2 linked regions of the Tamandua tetradactyla genome follow. The protein of the gene in region 1 purifies or fractionates together with the protein of each later gene. This does not show direct contact. Links are inferred from orthologs where the notes say so. Each region holds a gene or a part of one and is shown on either strand. Other genes may lie near its edges. The genes, in order: DNAJA1 and ENDOG.

Region 1 (10,554 bases):
AAATTGAAGGACAGTCCATAAAATACCTGATCAGTATTCCTTAAAACTGTCAAAGTCAACAAAAATAAGGAAAGTCTGCAAAATTGTCACAATCTTAGAGGAATCTGAGGAGACATAACAAAAAGTAATGCGGTATCTTAGATGGAATCCTGGGACAGAAAAAGGACATTAGAAGCAAGGAAATCCAAATAAAGCATGGGGTTTAGATGATAATACTTTATCAGTATTAGTTCATTTGCTGTGACAACTGTACTGTCTTAATGTAAGATGTTAAGCAGGGAATTGGGTGTGGGATATACAGAAACCTCTGTACTATCCTTGCAACTTTTCTGTAAAGCTAAAACTTATTCTAAAATTAAAAAATAAACACAAACTATCCTCATATTTTAAGCCAAAACATATCCCATACAGCATAGAGAAAATTATACTATATGTGAAAAGTACTAGAAAACCTGGGAGAATATATTAATAATGTTGGATTGGTATAAACATAATAAATGAAGAAGGGGAGGGGTGGGAAAGGGAAAGGAAAGAAGAAGAAAAAAAAGAGAAGTCAAAAAAGGTGAAAGTTAAAACTCACCTAACTAAAAATTTAAAACCTTGGGTGGGCCACAGTGGCTCAGCAGGCAAGAATGCGTGCCTGCCATGGCAGAGGACCTGGGTTCGCTTCCTGGTGCCTGCCCATGTAAAATAAATAAATAAATAAAAATTTAAAACCTTTATATGGCCAAAAAAGGTACAAATATGGATAATAAATAAAAAACTAAGAATACATTGGAAAACTAAAAGCAACACATAACAGACTAACATCTAATATCTCTAATATAAAAGTGCATCATTAAAATTGTGGCATCACACCATAGAAAAATGGTCAACAGAAGAAACGATCAGTAAACAGTTAAAAGATCCTTAACCACTCCAAAGAAACACATTAAAGAAACACGTTAAAACAATAAGGTAACAAGGGAACTTCCTTAAAATGATAGAGGGAATATATGAAAAACCCACAGCTAATATCATCCTCAATGGGGAAAAATTGAAAACTTTCCCCCCCTAAGATCAGGAACAAGACAACGATGTCCATTATCACCACTATTATTCAACATCGTGTTGGAGGTTCTAGCCAGAGCAATTAGACAAGAAAAAGAAATACAAGGCATCAAAATTGGAAAGGAAGAAGTAAAACTATCATTGTTTGCAGGCGATATGATACTATACATCGAAAACCCGGAAAAATCCACAACAAAACTACTAGAGCTAATAAATGAGTACAGCAAAGTAGCAGGTTACAAGATCAACATTCAAAAATCCGTAGCGTTTCTATACACTAGCAATGAACAAGCTGAGGGGGATATCAAGAAACGAATGCCATTTACAATTGCAACTAAAAGAATAAAGTACTTAGGAATAAATTTAACTAAAGAGACAAAAGACCTATACAAAGAAAACTACAAAAAATGGTTAAAAGAAATCACAGAAGACCTAAATAGATGGAAGGGCATACCGTGTTCATGGATTGGAAGACTAAATATAGTTAAGATGTCAATCCTACCTAAACTGATTTACAGATTCAATGCAATACCAATCAAAATCCCAAAAACTTATTTTTCAGAAATAGAAAAACCAATAAGCAAATTTATCTGGAAGGGCAGGGTGCCCCGAATTGCTAAAAGTATCTTGAGGAAAAAAAACGAAGCTGGAGGTCTCAAGCTGCCAGACTTTAAGGCATATTATGAAGCCACAGTGGTCAAAACAGCATGGTATTGGCATAAAGATAGATATATCGACCAATGGAATCGAATAGAGTGCTCAGATATAGACCCTCTCATCTATGGACATTTTATCTTTGATAAGGCAGTCAAGGCAATTCACCTGGAACAGAACAGTCTCTTCAATAAATGGTGCCTAGAGAACTGGATATCCATATGCAAAAGAATGAAAGAGGACCCCTATCTCACACCCTATACAAAAGTTAACTCAAAATGGATCAAAGATCTAAACATTAGGTCTAAGACCATAAAACAGTTAGAGGAAAATGTAGGGAGATATCTTATGAAACTTACAATTGGAGGCAGTTTTATGGACCTTAAACCTAAAGCAAGAGCACTGAAGAAAGAAATAAATAAATGGGAGCTCCTCAAAATTAAACACTTTTGTCCATCAAAGAACTTCATCAAGAAAGTAGAAAGACAGCCTACACAATGGGAATCAATATTTGGAAATGACATATCAGATAAAGGTCTAGTATCCAGAATTTATAAAGAGATTGTTCAACTCAACAACAAAAAGACAGCCAACCCAATTACAAAATGGGAAAAAGACTTGAACAGACACCTCTCAGAAGAGGAAATACAAATGGCCAAAAGGCACATGAAGAGATGCTCAATGTCCCTGGCCATTAGAGAAATGCAAATCAAAACCACAATGAGATATCATCTCACACCCACCAGAATAGCCATTATCAACAAAACAAAAAATGACAAGTGCTGGAGAGGATGCGGAGAAAGAGGCACACTTATTCACTGTTGGTGGGAATGTCAAATGGTGCAACCGCTGTGGAAGGCAGTTTGGTGATTCCTCAACAAGCTGAATATAGAATTGCCATACGACCCAGCAATACCATTGCTAGGTATCTACTCAGAGGACTTAAGGGCAAAGACACAAACGGACATTTGCACACCAATGTTTATAGCAGCATTATTTACAATTGCAAAGAGATGGAAACAGCCAAAATGTCCATCAACAGACAAGTGGCTAAACAAACTGTGGTATATACATACGATGGAATATTATGCAGCTTTAAGACAGAATAAACTTATGAATCATGTAATAACATGGATGGACCTAGAGAACATTATGCTGAGTGAGACTAGCCAAAAACCAAAAGACAAATACTGTATGGTCCCACTGATGTGAACCGACATTCGAGAATAAACTTGGAATATGTCATTGGTAACAGAGACCAGCACGAGTTAGAAACAGGGTAAGATAATGGGTAATTGGAGCTGAAGGGATACAGACTGTGCAACAGGACTAGATACAAAAACTCAAAAATGGACAGCACAATACTACCTAATTGTAATGTAATTATGTTAAAACACTGAATGAAGCTGCATCTGAGCTATAGTTTTTTTTGTTTGTGTGTTTTTTTATATACACTTTTTGTATTTTTTATTTTTATTTTTTTCTCTATATTATCATTTTATTTCTTTTTCTGTTGTCTTACTATTTCTTTTTCTAAATTGATGCAAATGTACTAAGAAATGATGATCATACATCTATGTGATATATTAAGAATTACTGATTGCATATGTAGAATGGAATGATTTCTAAATGTTGTGTTAGTTAATCTTTTTTTAATTAATAAAAAAACAATAAGGTATCATTTTTATCTCTAAAGCTGGCAAAGATTAAAAATAATAATAAAAGAACCCTCCATGTTGGCAAGGCCCACTCACACTGCTGGGGGCAGTACAGACTGATAGAACTTATATGGAAAGTTATTACGATTTTGAATCTGTACTCACTTTGACCCAGAAGTTTCAATTCTAAGTGTTCCTCCTACAGAAATAGATACATGAGTACCCAAAGATCTACTTGAGAACTCTCCTCTGTAGCACCGCTTGTAAAATGTTGTAAAAATAAAATTATTCATCAACAGGGGAACAGTTAAATGAATTATGGTCCTGCATACTACATACTATGAAATCATCGAAAATAGGAAGGTAGATATTTATCATGATATGCATGGTAACATAGCAGCAAATTTAGCAAAAAGGGCAAGGTACAAACACTATGCTATATATGATCCCATTTCTACAAAAAAATCACATAAACTTATCGCTGTTTTGGGTATTTTATGTAAATAAAAATGCTTCTTAAAAGCATTAACTTCTAAAGAAAAAAAAAGTGTCAAAACTTCTACTATTAAGGTGCCAGATTATTCGCCAGAATGTATTTTTCGAGATAGGTTCTATCAAGGAAAAACTGTCAAACGAACATATGTAAGGGTGGCTTTTAAGGCAACTATGACCTAACTTTGCTGTTGGGGTTACAAGTTACTAGCTCAAAGCTTGAATTGAGAGGGAAGAATTTTATACTTTTTTAAGCTGAGTTTTTAGTAAGTACTACATTCTTGTGGGTTAAAAATTCAAAAGCTTAAAAAAAGATACATTGTGAAATGCCTCTCTCATCTGTCCCCTCCCCCCAGTCCCTTTCTCCACAGCTCTCCCCATAGGCAACCATACAAGTTACTGTGTATCTTCAGAAGTAGTCTATGCATACACAAGCAATATATTTTTCATTAACCAACTTTTATGCCCATTATTTATTCACTTACTATATGAGCTTGCACATTTTAAAACTATCTTCAACATCACGTTTCACTGCGCCAAGTAGTTATCTTCATGTTTGTATCACATTTGCAGTTCTCAAACTTGTGGGTTTCTGAAGCAGAAACACTAAACATAGTAGTAGTCATTGTGGAAACTCTTGGTTGAAGTCATTTGATATATACCATACTGATGTTTACTTCATTTGCTTAATCAATATTAACATCATAAATGCATAACTTAAATTACAGTAAAGTAGGAACTCCAGGACTAAAACTCTTATGTAACACAAGAACAATATATTTAGTTATGGCTTATTTATTGTTCATGTCCATGCATGCCTTCACATCTGCTGGTTTCTGCTTGGCAAACCTAATTGTATGGTAAACAGTTCCCCAAATCGGCACCAAAATATTTTTTTTTCCAAGAATGGATTAATAGAACACTGTCTTTTCTGGTACCCCAAATATTCTTAATATATTATGTCTCTGGTTCCCTCACTACGTGGTGAGCTCCTTGAGGGCAGATACCATGACTTAGAAAATCGTTATATTGCACGCCGTAGCAATTACCGTCTGGCAATATTAGGCTTTAAATTAAGTGTGGGTTACACTTCATAAGTTATATGTAACACTGGAAAATTTAAGTGTTTAACAGGCAAAGCAAAATCACGCGGACTTGAAAAACTGCATTTGAGAAACTACAGACAGCTTGGTTGAAAGGTATCCCGTTTAAATCAATGAGGGCAATAAGGCTGAAGGGCAGGGTCATGCTTCCGAGTGAAGTTCAAAATTCTTAGCTTGGCAAGATATATCAAAGCATGGAGATATTTCCCAACGACCTGACTCCTCACCTCCAGCCACTCCGGCAGCCTTAGCTCTGGCTGTATTCAATTACTTACAATTTCCTAAAAACATCATACTTTCCCACACCTCTCAACCTTTTCTGTTTTATCCTTTCCTAGGAATGCTCTTCTCCCTTTTCAAAACTCCCTATAACCGTCATTTTCCCCAAAACGCTTTACTTTCCCCAATCAATCTAACGCTAGAAACTCTCCCCTCCTGACCACTATCTTGCCGTTCTGGTTTAGTTCAAAGGCTTCCCCTCTAAGTCCAAGAGATATGGCCCATGCTTTCTCAATTTTGCTGCTTCTTTGGTGCTAAATAGTCGTCATAAATTTAATGTATTACATTCAGGAAAATGGACACCGTTTTCCATTATGCTTCCTTCCCAACATTTGAATACCCAACGTTTCACTTCATAGACTCTAGATCCAAGTTCACAGAATGCTGGGACTTAAAAGTCACGTAAAACAATTTTTCACAGCTAGCCACTCTTAGCGCTACCGTGTCCCCGACTCGCCCAACCAGGAGGGATCCCTCGCCAGGGAAGGAGCTATGGTTCTCAGCTTGCACTAAGCAATCCTAAACGTTTCTCTGTTTACCACAATCCCAGACTCCTTGCACTCAATACGAAGGCGACAAAAAGGCTTAAGGCAGATAATGTGCACCTGGAGGCCGAGACATCCACAAAGGGCTCTTCCTCCCTCCCAGTTTGGTGAATTAAGAAGCTCTAGACTGTGTAAAAAAGACCAAATTTCAAGGCCTGAGAAGGGTCTGTGGACTAGGTCCACCTCGCTCAGCATTTCTTGCTCCGCGAGTTCCCAGAACTTCAGGGTCAAGAACTAACACAGTTGAAGGGGAAAGAGGGGGAAAAGGCGACGGTGGGGAGGAGGGGCTGCAGTGCTTTGTTCTGGGAAGTTCCCAATCGGCAGACGGCAGCCGCCTGGCTCCCGAGCCCTCCCCGCCCTATCGAGCAGCCGCAACCGCCCCAATAGTTTCAGATCCCCGAGTTGCATCGGAATTGCACCGCACAGGGCACAATAACCGCGTCCACCCGGGATTTCCGCACCTAGGGCTGCCGAAAGATAATGGCTCCAGAAGCTTCCAAAAGCGTCGAGAACGTGGGTTTGTACCCACCCCCCACACAAGGCCCTTCCGCGCAGCCCCTCCCAGCCCAAGTGCCCCCGCGCCGTTGCCCAGGTAACCGTGGGCGGTGGCAGTGGCCGGGAGGGGCGGGACTTCCGGCGAGTGACGCGCCCCGGCTCGACTACAAAAGACGACGGCTGCGGCGCGCCGGCCGGAACTTTCCAGAACGCTCGGTGAGAGGTGGAGGAGTGGTGGGTGCCTGAGCTGCGCACAGCGACGCGCTCCTTCCCGCTCCCCCTCACCAGCCTCGGCCTGCTCACCGGTGAGTCTCAGCCCTCGCATTTTCCTTCGTCCCCAGGCTGGCACTCTTGAGGCACTGGGGATTCAGGTGGAGCCGCGGTTAGAGGCGGTTAGCTCCGCGTGGGCGGGAGGGTTGTCGGTTCCTGTATCCACGATTCCCCATTCCGGTATCCACGGACTGTACTCCGACAGTCCATCCCCGGTACCCAGTAAGTGGACGTGAGGCCTTCTCTGAGTGCCCCCCCACGCAGCCCCCCCCCCACGCAGCCCCCCCCCCCCACGTAACCATCCCCCAACCAGCCTGAGGTCCCCAGGGAGCCGCCGTCTCCGCCTCCGCTTCCCCTCCGCGCGCGCCCTGGCGCCCCCTCCGCCCGCGCTCGCTCGGAGTGGGCGCCTTTGCGCGCAGGCGCGGGGGGAGGTAGGGGCCAGGGGCTGCGGGAGGGGTGGGGCGGAAGCTGCCGCTTTCGTTTCTTCTCCCTGCCTTCGTTCTTTGTTTAGGCCTGGGCTTCTACCCCCACCTCTTAGATACAGGGTAGGAAGGAGAAAGGAAGGAAACGGCGCCAAGTGAGGGGAGAAACCTGGCGAGATGTAAATACAGTGGTTGACACTGGCTTGTAGGGCAGGAGGGACTCGGCGATGAAAGCGGAGGAGATATAAGCTCCTTGATTGAGAGCTGTCCCTCAGGATGGGAGGGAGGGGCGCTTACTCTCTGAAAGTAATGTTCCTAATGAGTTCCATAAACCACGTTGTCCACCCACCCCCGGTCGAGCCCAGATGTATTTTCTTAGTGTTTGGCGTTCATCGAATTTACTGAAGACAATGATAATGTAATAACCGATGGACTGAATATGGTGGTGTTCTTTGGATGACTGCTGTTTTGTCACCATCTCTGGGGATAGGAAATAAGCAATCCAGGTTAATTGTCGCGTTTTTACAGAGGCTTTCATTTGGGAGAGTGGGAACCAACTGCTAAGACTTGAATTTTTCTCTTAGTTGTTAGTGTGTATGTGGTCTGTTAGAACTCGGGCTGAATTATCATAGGAATCCTTATCTTTACTCTGAAGTTTAAGAAGCTGTGTTATTTTAATCAGATCTTGGCAAAGGACAGGTTTTACTAACTGAAAGTACAAATTGAAAGTCCCTTAAAATTGCATTTTTTAATTTCAGGCTGTAGAAAATGGTGAAAGAAACCACTTACTATGATGTTTTGGGGGTCAAACCCAATGCCACCCAGGAAGAGTTGAAAAAGGCTTACAGGAAACTTGCCTTGAAATACCACCCTGATAAGAATCCAAATGAAGGCGAGAAGGCAAGTAATACATATCCTTAAACTTGTCTGAATAGTTTTTTGCCAGACGTATGAAATATTTTAGGACCTGGAATTGAGAGTGCCTAATATAGTGGCTATGCTTTGTTATACTTTTGTTTAAAAAACACGAAATTTGTTTCCTTTCTTGTAAACAGTTTAAACAGATTTCGCAAGCTTATGAAGTGCTCTCTGATGCCAAGAAAAGAGAATTATATGACAAAGGAGGAGAACAGGCCATTAAAGAGGGTGGAGCAGGAGGGGGTTTTGGCTCCCCTATGGACATCTTTGATATGTTTTTTGGAGGTGGTGGAAGGATGCAGAGAGAAAGGAGAGGTAAGAATAACCTGGTCAATATGCAACAAATTAAAGTAGCCATTGAACAAAGCAAATTCTTGTGACGTCATTTATTCCAGTGCTTTCTAACTTGTTGGTACAAAGTTGCAACTGGCCACAAACTGATTTATAATTTTTGTAAGTGAAGATTTGATGGAACTAAAAATGCTTAAGGTAATTAAGTGGTAATAAATAAGTGCTTCTAGTAAGTTTTAGCTTTTAGACTAAAGCTAAAGTTAATTAAGGGGACAAAGTTTAACAGTATAATTTTCTAAGCCGTTTTTACAGCTCTTTGGTGCAACACAGTGGTGGGTACTGTGGCCTTTTTTTCAATCAAGGGTGAGTTAGTGTTCAGAAACTTGACGTAGTCAAGGTCTTACAGGATTGAAAGATAGCTTCGTCGCCTCCAAGTAACTTAACTGTTGAATCTTGCACCACTTTTACCAAACTATACGTTTATAGCATTGAACAGAAATGTGGTTGTGTACTGTAAAACTACAGTATTCTGGTCAAGAGAAATTGCTCTGACTTTGTTCTCAGTATAGTTAGTACAAACAGGGTTTAATGGTTAGAAGCCAGTTTCAGAACAAACTAGCAAGCATTAAATTTCACTGTTGAGATTTTACCGTTCAAAAAGACTTTGGAAGTTGTTGGTTTACTCAGTCCTCACAAAGGTCTTCAAGGAAACAAATATGTTTTTATTTGCTCATTTTGTAGAAATTTACTATAAAAAGAAAATCTACAATCCAAATTAGTTGCTTTATTAGTAAATTATTAGGATTGATTTTTTGTTTTTTTAGTAACAACTATTCGTAAATTCCTATATGGCTTAGATCAATAAGAAGCCAACATATTAGACCAGAAAATAGTGTGCTTCATCAAACTTTAGAAATTTTATTTTTCCTTCTTTACATTTCCGACTCCGTATAACAAAGTTTAAAGTAAAAAACATAGCTTTTAGCATGCAGAATTAACTTCATGGGACTGTACAATACGGAACCCAGAGGTGCAGTTAGGAGCAGAAGGGTATAGTTCGTGGTATGTGACATGTAGCTGAAACAAACAAAAATGTTCCTTGGGCATGTTATGCAGGAAGAAGTTTCAGAACTTTTTCATTTAGGTGTAAGATAGTACTGTTTGGTGGTGGATAAAGTCCTTGTGGAAGAATCACTAGGCTAGGAACTTATTAACTAACCATTGACAGGTGACTTCATTTCTTTATCCACAGTGTCCTTATATGATCTTAACCTTCCACTTTCCATTCTAAGGATGCCATTCCTTTTTAACCACTGGCCACATGTAGTTCTTAAATGTAGAGTAATTTAAAATAAAATAAAAAGTCAATTCCTCACAGTAGTCACATTTTATGGGCTCGATAGCCAAATGTGACAGATGGCTGCTGTACTGGCCAGTGCAGATATAAAATGTTTCCTTAGTTATAGAAAGTTGTAAGTTATAAGAAAGCTAATCTTTAAACAAGTGCTGGCCCACATTAAAAAGTTATATTCCTGTTGATCAAGAAGGGATGTAGGAATTTATAAGGCGACTCAGATACAACAGCTTTCCTTACAGATTTCAGTTACTAGGAGCTTACTATGCGGAAGAATCTTTGAGTGACATATGGGCATGTTGTTCCATATCACACAAAATGAAAGGTTCCAAGAATATATTAGAAACAAAAGTTTGGATTAATTCTTTGAAATGTGCCTATTTAGATAACATTGATTTTTTTTTTCCCCAGAAGTTTTTGCAGGTAATGTTTTTATTGTAATTTGTAAAATGGCCACATCTATATCCCCAGGCAAATTAACTTCGTTTCTGACCCAAGTAACCTTATCTGTAATTGCATCACAGTTCAAGGATGATATGTGATAAATATGAACATTCTGTGTATGTGCTCATACTTCAACACATACTTCGTTATCCTTTACAATTTTAATAGTGTCTTAACACAAGGGTTTTAATAAATAATATTTTGCTTTAGGTAAAAATGTTGTACATCAACTCTCAGTAACCTTAGAAGATTTATATAATGGTGCAACAAGAAAACTAGCTCTGCAAAAGAATGTGATTTGCGACAAATGTGAAGGTATGATTGTTTTAGTTTGCTAATGTGGAGATGGCTATATATCAGAAATGGGTTGGTTTTTTTTTAATTTATTAATTAAAAAAATTAAGAACAAACAAAAACATTAACGTATCATTCCGTTCTACATATATAATCAGTAATTCTCAATATCATTACATTGTGGCATATTTATCATTTCTAAGAACATTTGCACCAATTCAGAAAAAGAAATAAAACGATAACAGGGAAAAAAAGATTATACATACCATACCCCTTACACCTCGC
Region 2 (9,836 bases), about 11 Mb from region 1:
AGGCAAGCATTCTTCCACTGAACCACCCGATACCACCTCTTTAAGGAAGTAGTATACTGCTAGATCTGAGAGCCTTGGTCCTAGGTATCCACAGAACCTGTGAACCCACTTCTAAGGCAGCCAGAACACTGTCCCTTTGGGCACCTACCTAGGGTGAGGTTCTATTGCTCCCATCAGTCTCAGAGGGGTGGTGATTACACAGAGTGGACAGCCCCAGTCTACGTGTTCCCAGGGGCTCTCCCTCGGCCAGGTGCTGTGATCCTGCTACCCTCACCCTCCCAGCAGAACTCTGGTTCTCATCCTTCTAATACCCACGTTGAGGACCAAGAACTTCCTGCCTATTATCTTGGGAGAGCCTCCCCCTGATCCCGGGAGGTAGGAATCATTACTGTCATCCCCATTTTATATAGAAAGAGACTGAGGAACAGAAAGGTGAGGCCTGTCTTTGGCAAGTATGCAGCTAGCCAAGTGGCAGATTCTGAAAAATGGTCCTGGGTCTGTCCTTAACCTCTACATTGCACTGCTGAGGAACAAAGTCCCAAGGAGCTCAGTCCTGGGCAGTAAGACACTGAAGAGAGGTAAGGAGCCAGGGGACCCAGGCAGCCTTGTCCCAGCATACTGTCACACTTCTCTTCCAGGAAGCCATCCTCATCTCCCTGTCTGCCCTGCAGCCTGGCCTCACCCAGGCAGGTGCCAGGCCCAGCTGAAGGTTCTTTCTGGCCCAAGAAACTGAAACAGCAGCGTTGAAGCCAGGGGTTCCTACAAGACATCTGGGACAGACATAGCCAAGACCTGTCTCAAAAATAACTACATTTAATGTGATCCAACTCCTGTATACCCACAGTCTCATCAGGCTGCCTCCCTCACTTGCTACCAGCAGTGATGGCCTTGACGTTGCCTGCTCGTGCCAGGATGTTTGGCACAAAAAGCAGCCCTGAGGCCCTCTCGATGCTCTCAATGGGCACCAGGAAGCGCTCCAGTGGGATGGCCTCGTCCACAGGTGCGTTGGGCATCACATAGGAGCGGAGCTCAATCTGCCCACCTGCTGCCTCCAAGATCAGCACCTTGAAGAAGTGCGTCGGCACTGCCACATGGTTCTTACCAATGACCTGGTACTTCACGTAGGACTTTCCATCAGCCTCCGTCCTGTGGGCAGACCCAAGCACATGTCCTTTCAGGGCTTCCTGGGGGCCTGAGGCTTGGTCCAACCCCATGCCAACGCCTCTTCCTCCAGGAAGCCTTCCCTGACCCAAAGTCCACTTCTGTCAAATGCAGGGCAGCCCCTTGAGTGTGAGGCTTCTGTACCTTGCTCAGCTCCCCCATGAGGCTGAACTCTTAACAGGGAGGGCACTGCCTCTTACCCTGAAGTGTTTTCTTCATGCCCAATACTGAGCCAGGCAGAGTACATGGCAATAAATACTGCTAAAAGAACCAGGCCTCCTAAACATTCACATTCCTCTTGTGGGCATTTAATTACTGTTTGTCTCTCTCTGTGGGTGGTATGCAAGGACCATGATGATTTAATCCCCAGTACCCAGCAAAGGGCCTGGTGTGTAGTAGGTACCCAGAACACTGAATGAATGATTTACTCCATTTCTGTAGGCCATAGGAGGCACTTGCTAATTAAAGCTTATCAATTCTCCAGCCACCACCCCAGCCAGCTCCTGCCAAGCCCTTATTGTTGGCCAGACCCTGAGCTAAGCAGGTGACATTCACCATTCTACTCAGTCCCCTCAACAACCCTGAGGTAAGAGGTACAGTCCTCTTCTTACAGGAGGGTCATTCAGGCTTATAGGTCACTTGCCTACCACCACCTAAGAACTAGGTATTAGGACCCAGATTCCATCCCAGGTCTGTACACTCCAAAGCCAGCTGCTTAGCCACAACCTATTGCCTTGCTCATCCCTATCCTCAACAGACCAGAAAAAATCAGATTGTGCAGAGAACCTCATTCCCTTTGACCTGGGAGCTAGAGTTACACCAAGGCACAATAGTGAAGGTTTTGAACCAGTCAGATCTGAGTTAAAATGCTGGCTCCAGGGGAAGGGTGTTCAGAGCAGAGAAAACCCAAGGCAAAAGAGCTTGGTGCATTGAGGGATCTGCAAGGGTTTCTGCCTAGGTAGAATACAAATTTGGCTGGGATTGGGTATGGGAAGAGGTAATGGAGAGGAGCAGGGCAAACTCAGAGGTAATGGAGAGAGGAGCAAGGCAGACTTAGGGTCCAAGAGAGAAATGGTGTAGGTGGATACCCAAATGGAATGGAATGCAGGTCCAAGGCAGGGAGAAGGACAGACCTATCAAGAACCAGAAGAGTACTGACTTGGTGTTGATCCGGAGCCTGAGGCAAGCGTGAGTGGTAAGAAGGGACTTCCAGATGGGTGGGAGACCATGTCATCCCCAGGTCCCCCCACCCCTAGTTTCAGTCTCACCTGGGCAGGAAGAGAGGCCCTGTGCAAACATAGACATTTTGATAGGTACGGGTCAAGCTGCGGCTGTACTTCTCCAGGTTGTTCCAGGCATTCTGGTTGAGGTGGGGTACCTGGGAGGAAAGGGGGTTAAGTGGGGTATTCCCCTTTTCCCAGGACTGTCCCAGGCCCTGAGGGGATGTTGGCATCAAGCAGGGGGATATCTAGCTATGGGCAAGCAAGAGCAGGAAAGTGAGGTTCACAAAGGAGAGTCATTCCCCAAGGTGACATGGTCATGAGGGCCAAGTCCAAATATGGCTAATGAAGATGCTACCCTCCCATCTAGAATGGAAGGGCTAGGCACCCCTAAGTCTCAGTTTCAAAGAGGTATATGAAGGAAGACGTACATCTTCCCCATTAAGATGAAAGAAACAGGCCTGGCCTGCAGAGGGCTTCACCAGAAGACCAGCTCTCCCAACCATCTCTTCTTTCCTTCTAATCTAAACTACGTGTAGAGCTTAGCGAGAACTTCTTGAATCTGCTACTGACTCCATCACTTTAGCTGGCGCCCAGGCCTCATTATGATGTCTAATAAAATGGGTAAAGGACTGTACTATTGAGAGAGCATAAAAAGAAGTCAGGCTGGAAGCTCATACCCCACAGGCCATTCAGAGCCCCACATCAACCTCCATGGACTGGGTGCCAGACCCTGTTGGGAGTGGGGCCAGAGGTTGAGTGGCTTATCCAGGGTACACGGTAACTGGTATTAACAGCCTGAATGCTTGCCAGCTATTTTTCCTTTTGCTCCTCTCAGACAGGCAGATTAGGGGGCAATGGCTGAAAACTTAGGTTCGTCTATATAGACTGCCTGGGTTCTCCTCCTTCCAAGGTGTGTGACACTGGATTAGTCACTTGGCCTCTCCAAACCTCAGCTTTCTCAAAAAAAAGCCACTAATTAACATTCACTGAATGCTTGCCGTGGGCCAGGAAGTGTATTCAGTACTTTACATGCATTGTATCTTTAATTCCTCAACACTACCGCAAGAGGGAATTACCCCATTTTACAGACGAGAGCACTGACGCTCAGGCGCGGCCCACAGCAGAGGCGGCGCTCTCCCCTTCCTCCTACAAGTGCAAGGCAGGATCAGTAAGGCACCTGGCCTGGAGCGCGCACCCGGCGGCGACTCCATGCTGCAAAGGGGCAAATCCAGGCTCAGAGAGGCAAAGCGCTACCTGGGGCGAGACGTTGCTCAGGTAGAAGGTGTCGTCCATGGCTTTCTGGCTCCAGCGGTGGTTGGCAGCGGCGGCGAGGTGGCCGCGGTCGAAGCCGCTGCCGCGGTAGTCGGAGTTGGTGGCGCGGTGGTACGCGTGCACCGATTCGTCCTCGCGAAAGTCGCAGGAACGGCGGTCGCCATCGCCGCGGAGCCGCTCGGGCCGCAGCTGCTCGATCACCCAGAGCGCGCCGCGGGTGCGCGGGTCGTAGCACAACACGTACGATTCGCGGTTCTTGAGCTGAGCCAGCCCCGGCAGCCCGTACTTGGCCAGCTCACCCGGGCCGCCACTCGCTGGTCCCCCGGGCACCGCGGGCAGCTCGGCAGCCGCCACGGGCAGCACGGGCAGCCTGCCCAGAAGTATGGGCGCTGCTTGTGCCTCTGCCTGCCGCCGCCGCCAGCCTTCGGCGGCCGCGCCCAGCCCAGCGCCCAGCGCCAGGGTCAGGCCGGCCCGCAGCGCCCGCATAATCCAGCACCGTAGTGGGAGCGGGAATGGAAAGTGCCACTCGGGACAGAGGGAACCCGGCGACCTCCGACGCCCAACCCGTGAGGCTCTTAAAGGGGCCGCACCAGCCCGCGGGCCCACCGTGAGGATGGGGGCAGGCGGAGACGTGGGAGGGTGAGGATTCGTCCGTCTTTCTATTCACAATTGCTCAGAAAGGCTGGAGACTCGCAACGAGAGAAGGACCAGCAGCGGGTGCACATTTCGGCTCTCGTTCTTTGCTCTTTAAAGACGCAGGCTTGAAGTGTGGCAGGCCCACTTTGCGCTAGGACTGGCCATCGCCTGCCCGGCTCCGCCCTGCCCCCCCCCACGTGTCTACACCGAGGGACCCTCCCCCATCCAGGCCGTACAGCTATTTCTTAATAAGCTCCAAGAAGTGTCAAGTACAGGTCTAAACTCTTTAATTACTACTTCATGTAATACTCAAAAGAGCTCCAAGAAAAAAAAATTTTTTTTTAAAAGAGCTCCTAGAGGGAGTTCTTGGTTGGCAGGACAAGGACAAGACCACAAGTCTGACATCAGAGCCCGTCTTCCTAACCATAACACTGTAAAATAAGCCAAAATGCTACCAGACTGGTAAAGATTTCCTTAACAGCATCCAGAGCTGAGACAAGGATGCAGGCAGCCTATGCAAACAGCTGGGTGGAACAGAAACCGGTACAACGATTCCAAAAAGCAGCTTGGCAGGATGCATGAAAAGCCTTGAAAAGGCTCAAACCTTTCAACCTACTTAGACAACTGAGCTGGGAAAATAATAAAAAATGCAAGATTTCAAACACGAATATTCAACACAGTGTTATTTAAATAATAGGTGCTAGAATAAGCAAAAGATTCAGAAATAGGGACTGGCTAGTGGACATATATTAGCATATTAGATGAAATAGTATGTAGCCCATGAAAATATTTTACAGCAACATGCTATTATCTTAAATAGGGACATATACAAAACAGTACATCAATAAAAAGAATTACATCTGCATAAAAAATAAAATGGTATCAATTATCTCCAGATTATAGGATAATGGGTGACTTGTTTTAGTTACGTGTTTTTGAATTTTCAAAGTTTTTTAAAAAATAATTTGCTGTGTAACCATGTTAGAAGTACTTTCCTAGTCAACATTCCTTTATACTTCCAGATGTATATTGCTGTAGTTGAATTAGAAGATCTGAATAGGCTCTTGCAACAAGATTTCCTGGATTTTGTTTAGACCACTCTGAGACGTCTGACTCTATCCTTGCTCAAACTTTTTTCCCTGCTCCTAGAGTTTTCAGTAGAGGATAGCACCAATGGCCACTGGAAAGAACACATGATTTATTAAAGACAATTTGTCATCACCAGCATTGATTCAAGAAAAAAAAAAAAGAAAACACAAAAGCAGACTAACATTCCCACCCTCTGGAGTGAGGCCTGCTAAACTCATACAGCCTAATCTGTAGAAGTGTCTGAAGTCCGGGGGACAGTTTCTCAAGTAGGAAGCCTTGGGCACTGTGGCTCTCTTGGGCCCTTCCTTGAGGAATGGGGGACAGGGAATAGTCAAGGGCAGGTCCTTCCCTTAGGCAGTATCCTACTGGGAAGCTCATCCTAACTAGAACATGGTCCCTATGATCTTGACCTTCATCCCAAGATCAAGGAGAGGGCACTGGACACAGGTCTGCCACTGAGGCAAACTAGGTACAGTGATTCAAGTAGTACAGCCCAGGGAAGGAAGGAAGGTGAACAGGCAAGAGGGGATGCATAGCTGTCCTGGGCAGTGTCTGCTGGGTCCCAGGCCAGGGCCCAGGCCTGAGTCTGTGAAGAGATCAAAGTTGGGGCTGAACCACCAGCTGACAAGCCCTGGGAGGAGGGTGGGTCAGGCTGGGGAAAGCAGTGTGTGTCTCTGCCCCATCACAGGGGTCTCAGGGTATGGCAAGCATACCAGTTGTCTTCTCTCTACCCTTCCACTCACATCCAGTATAGAATTTAGAACCCTCCCAGCCAGAACCTGTAGAAACCCAGAAAAGTCCCAGAGGCAAGAGGAGAGGATGCTGGCTCTGACCTTCAGAAATCAGGACGACACTGTCTCCAGCTCTACCTTCTGTGCACCAGCCCCAAGCCTAAATTAAGCACTTGCTAATCTGTAATAAATAATCAAGAGTCTGAATAAATAGTTACTATCTCCCCCAAATACTGAGTATCAAGAGAAGTATCAGCAAAAAAGGCAAGTGCATAAAGTTCCAGCAGAATCCAAGGTAGAGCATTTGCTGGGGTAAGCCGTTTCTGGTCCACAGCTGGGCCTGGCTGCCTGATTTAGGAAAGCTTTGAAGCAAGAGGACTCCCACAGCTTTGTTCCTGCTGGCCAGTCTAGGGAGGCTAAGGGCCCCTGCTACAGTACCTGCCCTTCCAGGCCAAAATCACCTGCCTCCTCACAAAAGAAGGGAGGGAGTATGGTGGGCATAAGTACCACTCCTCCCACAGCCCAGCCCCAGGAGTAGCCAGCTGCTCCTGTTCAGAGTTCACCTGCCCAAAATTCTGGGAACAGCCAAAGCAGGTGACTAGAAGAGAAGGGTGAGTACCTCCTTCAGCCTGCTTAGGAGATGACAGGACACACAATGGAGCAGAGACAAGGCCCTCATGGCACAAACAGGATTCAGGACCTTTGAGCTCAGCTATAACAGGCACAAACAGGATTCCACTTACCCTTTTTGGGACTCACTACCCTGCACTGGGACCTGGAAGCCAAGGGAGTGACAATTCTTAGGAAGCACTTGGATCCCAACCCTTGGAATAGAATTACCTTTTCTATTCCCTTGGAGTACAGACAATCCCCAAAGAGAGAAGGGCCTCAGGGTGGACTCTGGAGAGAGACTTATCTCCCTCTTCATTCCTCAGCAGCTTCTGGTTTCCAAGATTTCTATTGTGGGGAACAAGTTAAGGGACCTCTAGAGAGGCACTATGGATTTCCTCCCATTTAGAAGGACCAGGGAGCCTAGGACTGGGAGATAGGAACAAGATGCAAAGGCCAAGGTTGACCTCCTGAGGCTTTGCTGAGCAAGACTCTTCCACAATCTGTCTTACAGGTTGACGGGAACAGAGAGGGAAGGAGGGGAAGAGGCTCAGGATAAGGCACCCCAAGAGAAAAGGGCAGAGGGAAAGCAATGGAGAGGAACATACCAGAGTAAGAGTTATTCACACCCTCGGTGAAAGAGGCAGAGGGAAAAGAGAGGGAACCAGAGATAGAGAGGTAGAGAGACAGACCTAGAGGGATTCAAAGATACCCTTACATACCCACTGACTGACAGACAAGACAGAAAAGCTGCTGAGACACCTGTGGAATTCAGAGGTACATCTAAGCCAACCTACAACCAGGCATGTACACTCAGTGGAAGAGAGATGGATGGCATGACCTCAGCCTGTCAGCCTCTTGGCTCCTTCATAGTGTCACTTTCCCCATGGAGAAGGATAAGCACCAATGCTCAGATGAAGTGGAATCTGAGCCATCTGCCCAGCTTCTTCACCACTCCCCCTTACCAGACTCCAGGGGAAGATGAGAAGCAGGAAAGGAGAAAGGGAGCCACAACAGAGGCAGGAAGGGACCCTTGCCAGTCTCCCAGTCCCCTTAAGCTGTCCTCAGTCCTGGGAAACAGAACTTCATGAGTTCCAACCTTGCTCAGCAGTCTGGGCAGAGGGCCCCAGGGATGAAGAGCAGGGAGGAAGACAGGGCTTGGTGGTTAGGGAATAACAGCACAGTGTGCCCCCAATGGGAGCGGCCTAGGTCAAGGGAGCCAGGGTGAGAAGGCCTGGAGTATGGCCAATTCTGCAGCTTCCCGTCCGGCTGGGGATCCCACAGGCTTCTGCACATCTCAGAAGTAAGGGCACAGGGGTCGGGTGGCTTCTCTCCCAAACCTGGGTCTCCTGTCACGAGGCTACTTTGAGTCTTGGAGTTCCTTGGCTTTCTGTAAGATCTGGCAGACATCTGTGATGGGGTAATCCTAGACATAAGAAAGGCCAACAATAATATACATTTTGTTAGAATAGAAAAAGTGTGATGATGGTGGGGTGGGTGGGTGGATGGGGACCTAATAAAACAGAAGTAACATTTTGGCCCTGGCATTACAAGAACACAGGCAGTGTTAGGTCTCCAAGTCTTAGAATTCATATATAACGGTACACTATGTAATGTAGAGTCTATGTAGTATAGTAAGTTTACATTTGAAAATATCAGGATATTGCTATTAAGCTTTGGGGAAGTAGTGGGGAGGGCTTTATTTTCGCCTCTGCTTGGGCCAGGCAGCAGATGAGAAGCACTGGTATCTAGGGAACTTGTAAGGGCTTGTGGATAGAATTAAAAATATAGTTAATACCAATTAAGTATAATTAAAACCTTATACTTTAAAAAAAAAAAAAGAAAGAAAGAAAGGCCAACAATATGCCTGTGAAGTAACCTGACTCTTTGCCACCTTTGTCATATCCCTGCCTTTCCACAGGGGCCTTCACTGTGCTGGGACTCTCAGACTCAAGGACAGGGACCACGGATACCAGATACCCTGTGTTGCTGCCCAAAGTCCTGAGGTAGCTAATGCTACATCCACTGCAGTACTAACTTAACCAACCCAACCAGTGCCACCCAAAGGGTCATAGCTGGTTCCTTAGGACCAGACCCTATCCAACCTCACCTCTCCCCAGCCGCTGCCCTCAAAACCTGAGTTCCATTCATAATGAGCCTGGTACTGTGTCAAACACCATCCATGTATTACCTCACTGAATTATCACAACAGTTCTACGATTTACTTGATTTAGACAACGAAGTTATTAAAAACCAACCCTAGGCCAGGAGTTGATGAAGAAACGGAGGTCTAGAGAGGTTGGTACTTGTCTCAGGTCATATGACTAGTATAGCAGCACAAAGACACAAATTCAAAGCTGCCCGACCCTTGTGTCCATGTTCTTAACCACAAGGCTCCACCCTCTCCTTTCTAAGTCCCTCCATCCCTGAGCATGATTATGGTGAGCATTACCAGGGTGCCCGCTGTGCTAGAGGTACACTTAACTTCTGGAAAGCACTTAGTTTAGAGAGGCCAAGTCATTCACTAAAGGCAATACAACACTCAAGGACAGTGGCAGAGCCAATATTCAAACCCAGCTCTGCCTCAAGGATTTGGATTCCTGCTGCACTCTACACTTTACTGTTCCTGACCCTAGCCTGTCACAGCAGCAGGAACAGGGTGGGTGCCTGAATAAAGACAGAGCTTGCCCCTCCAAACTTCTATTACCTGCAGGAGCCGCATGTTTACAGTAAAGTCCCCTTCCAGCAACTGCTCCCGGATCAGTCTAAGAAACACAAACAGCAAAAGCTCTAGAACCCTGGGCCACTCTAAAGATGAAGGCACAGCTAAGCCCCTTCCCACTCCTTCCTTTACCACCCACAGTGAGTTTGCTTTAAAGTTCTCTCAGAGGCTCATTCCAGCTCTGTGAGAGGAACCCCCTACTCTCCTGAGGGCAGAGTTCCTCCCTTTTATTTATTCCAGTGCCTGGCCAGATGAGCAGACATCTAATCAAGCCCACACTCACATGAGCATGGCACAGCAGACAAGGAGCAGGAAGTCAAAGCGGTTGTCATCAGCGAAGAGGGAGTCCCAGATCCGGATGACATCAGGCAGCAAGAACTCCTGGGATAACAG

The links.
Region 2: the proteins of DNAJA1 (region 1) and ENDOG purify together in Homo sapiens (affinity purification with mass spectrometry; 3 studies listed by BioGRID and IntAct, counting the BioPlex papers as one, with this or other methods). This does not show direct contact. The link is inferred for Tamandua tetradactyla from reciprocal best matches to the Homo sapiens genes DNAJA1 and ENDOG.

The regions. Positions count from the first base shown.
Region 1 is NC_135328.1:62,869,841-62,880,394, reverse strand, and holds the start of DNAJA1 (dnaJ homolog subfamily A member 1), read left to right. Parts: upstream 1-6,431; 5' UTR 6,432-6,581; intron 6,582-7,037; exon of another isoform or gene 7,038-7,474; intron 7,475-7,726; 5' UTR 7,727-7,736; coding exon 7,737-7,868; intron 7,869-8,023; coding exon 8,024-8,201; intron 8,202-10,185; coding exon 10,186-10,290; intron 10,291-10,554.
Region 2 is NC_135328.1:51,647,455-51,657,290, reverse strand, and holds ENDOG (endonuclease G, mitochondrial), read right to left. Parts: upstream 4,466-9,836; 5' UTR 4,143-4,465; coding exon 3,639-4,142; intron 2,540-3,638; coding exon 2,430-2,539; intron 1,432-2,429; exon of another isoform or gene 1,147-1,431; coding exon 864-1,146; 3' UTR 798-863; downstream 1-797. Other genes in the region: SPOUT1 (28S rRNA (uridine-N(3))-methyltransferase), read left to right, coding at 639-707; TBC1D13 (TBC1 domain family member 13), read right to left, coding at 7,826-8,147, 9,727-9,836. UniProt on the Homo sapiens protein: Endonuclease that preferentially catalyzes the cleavage of double-stranded 5-hydroxymethylcytosine (5hmC)-modified DNA.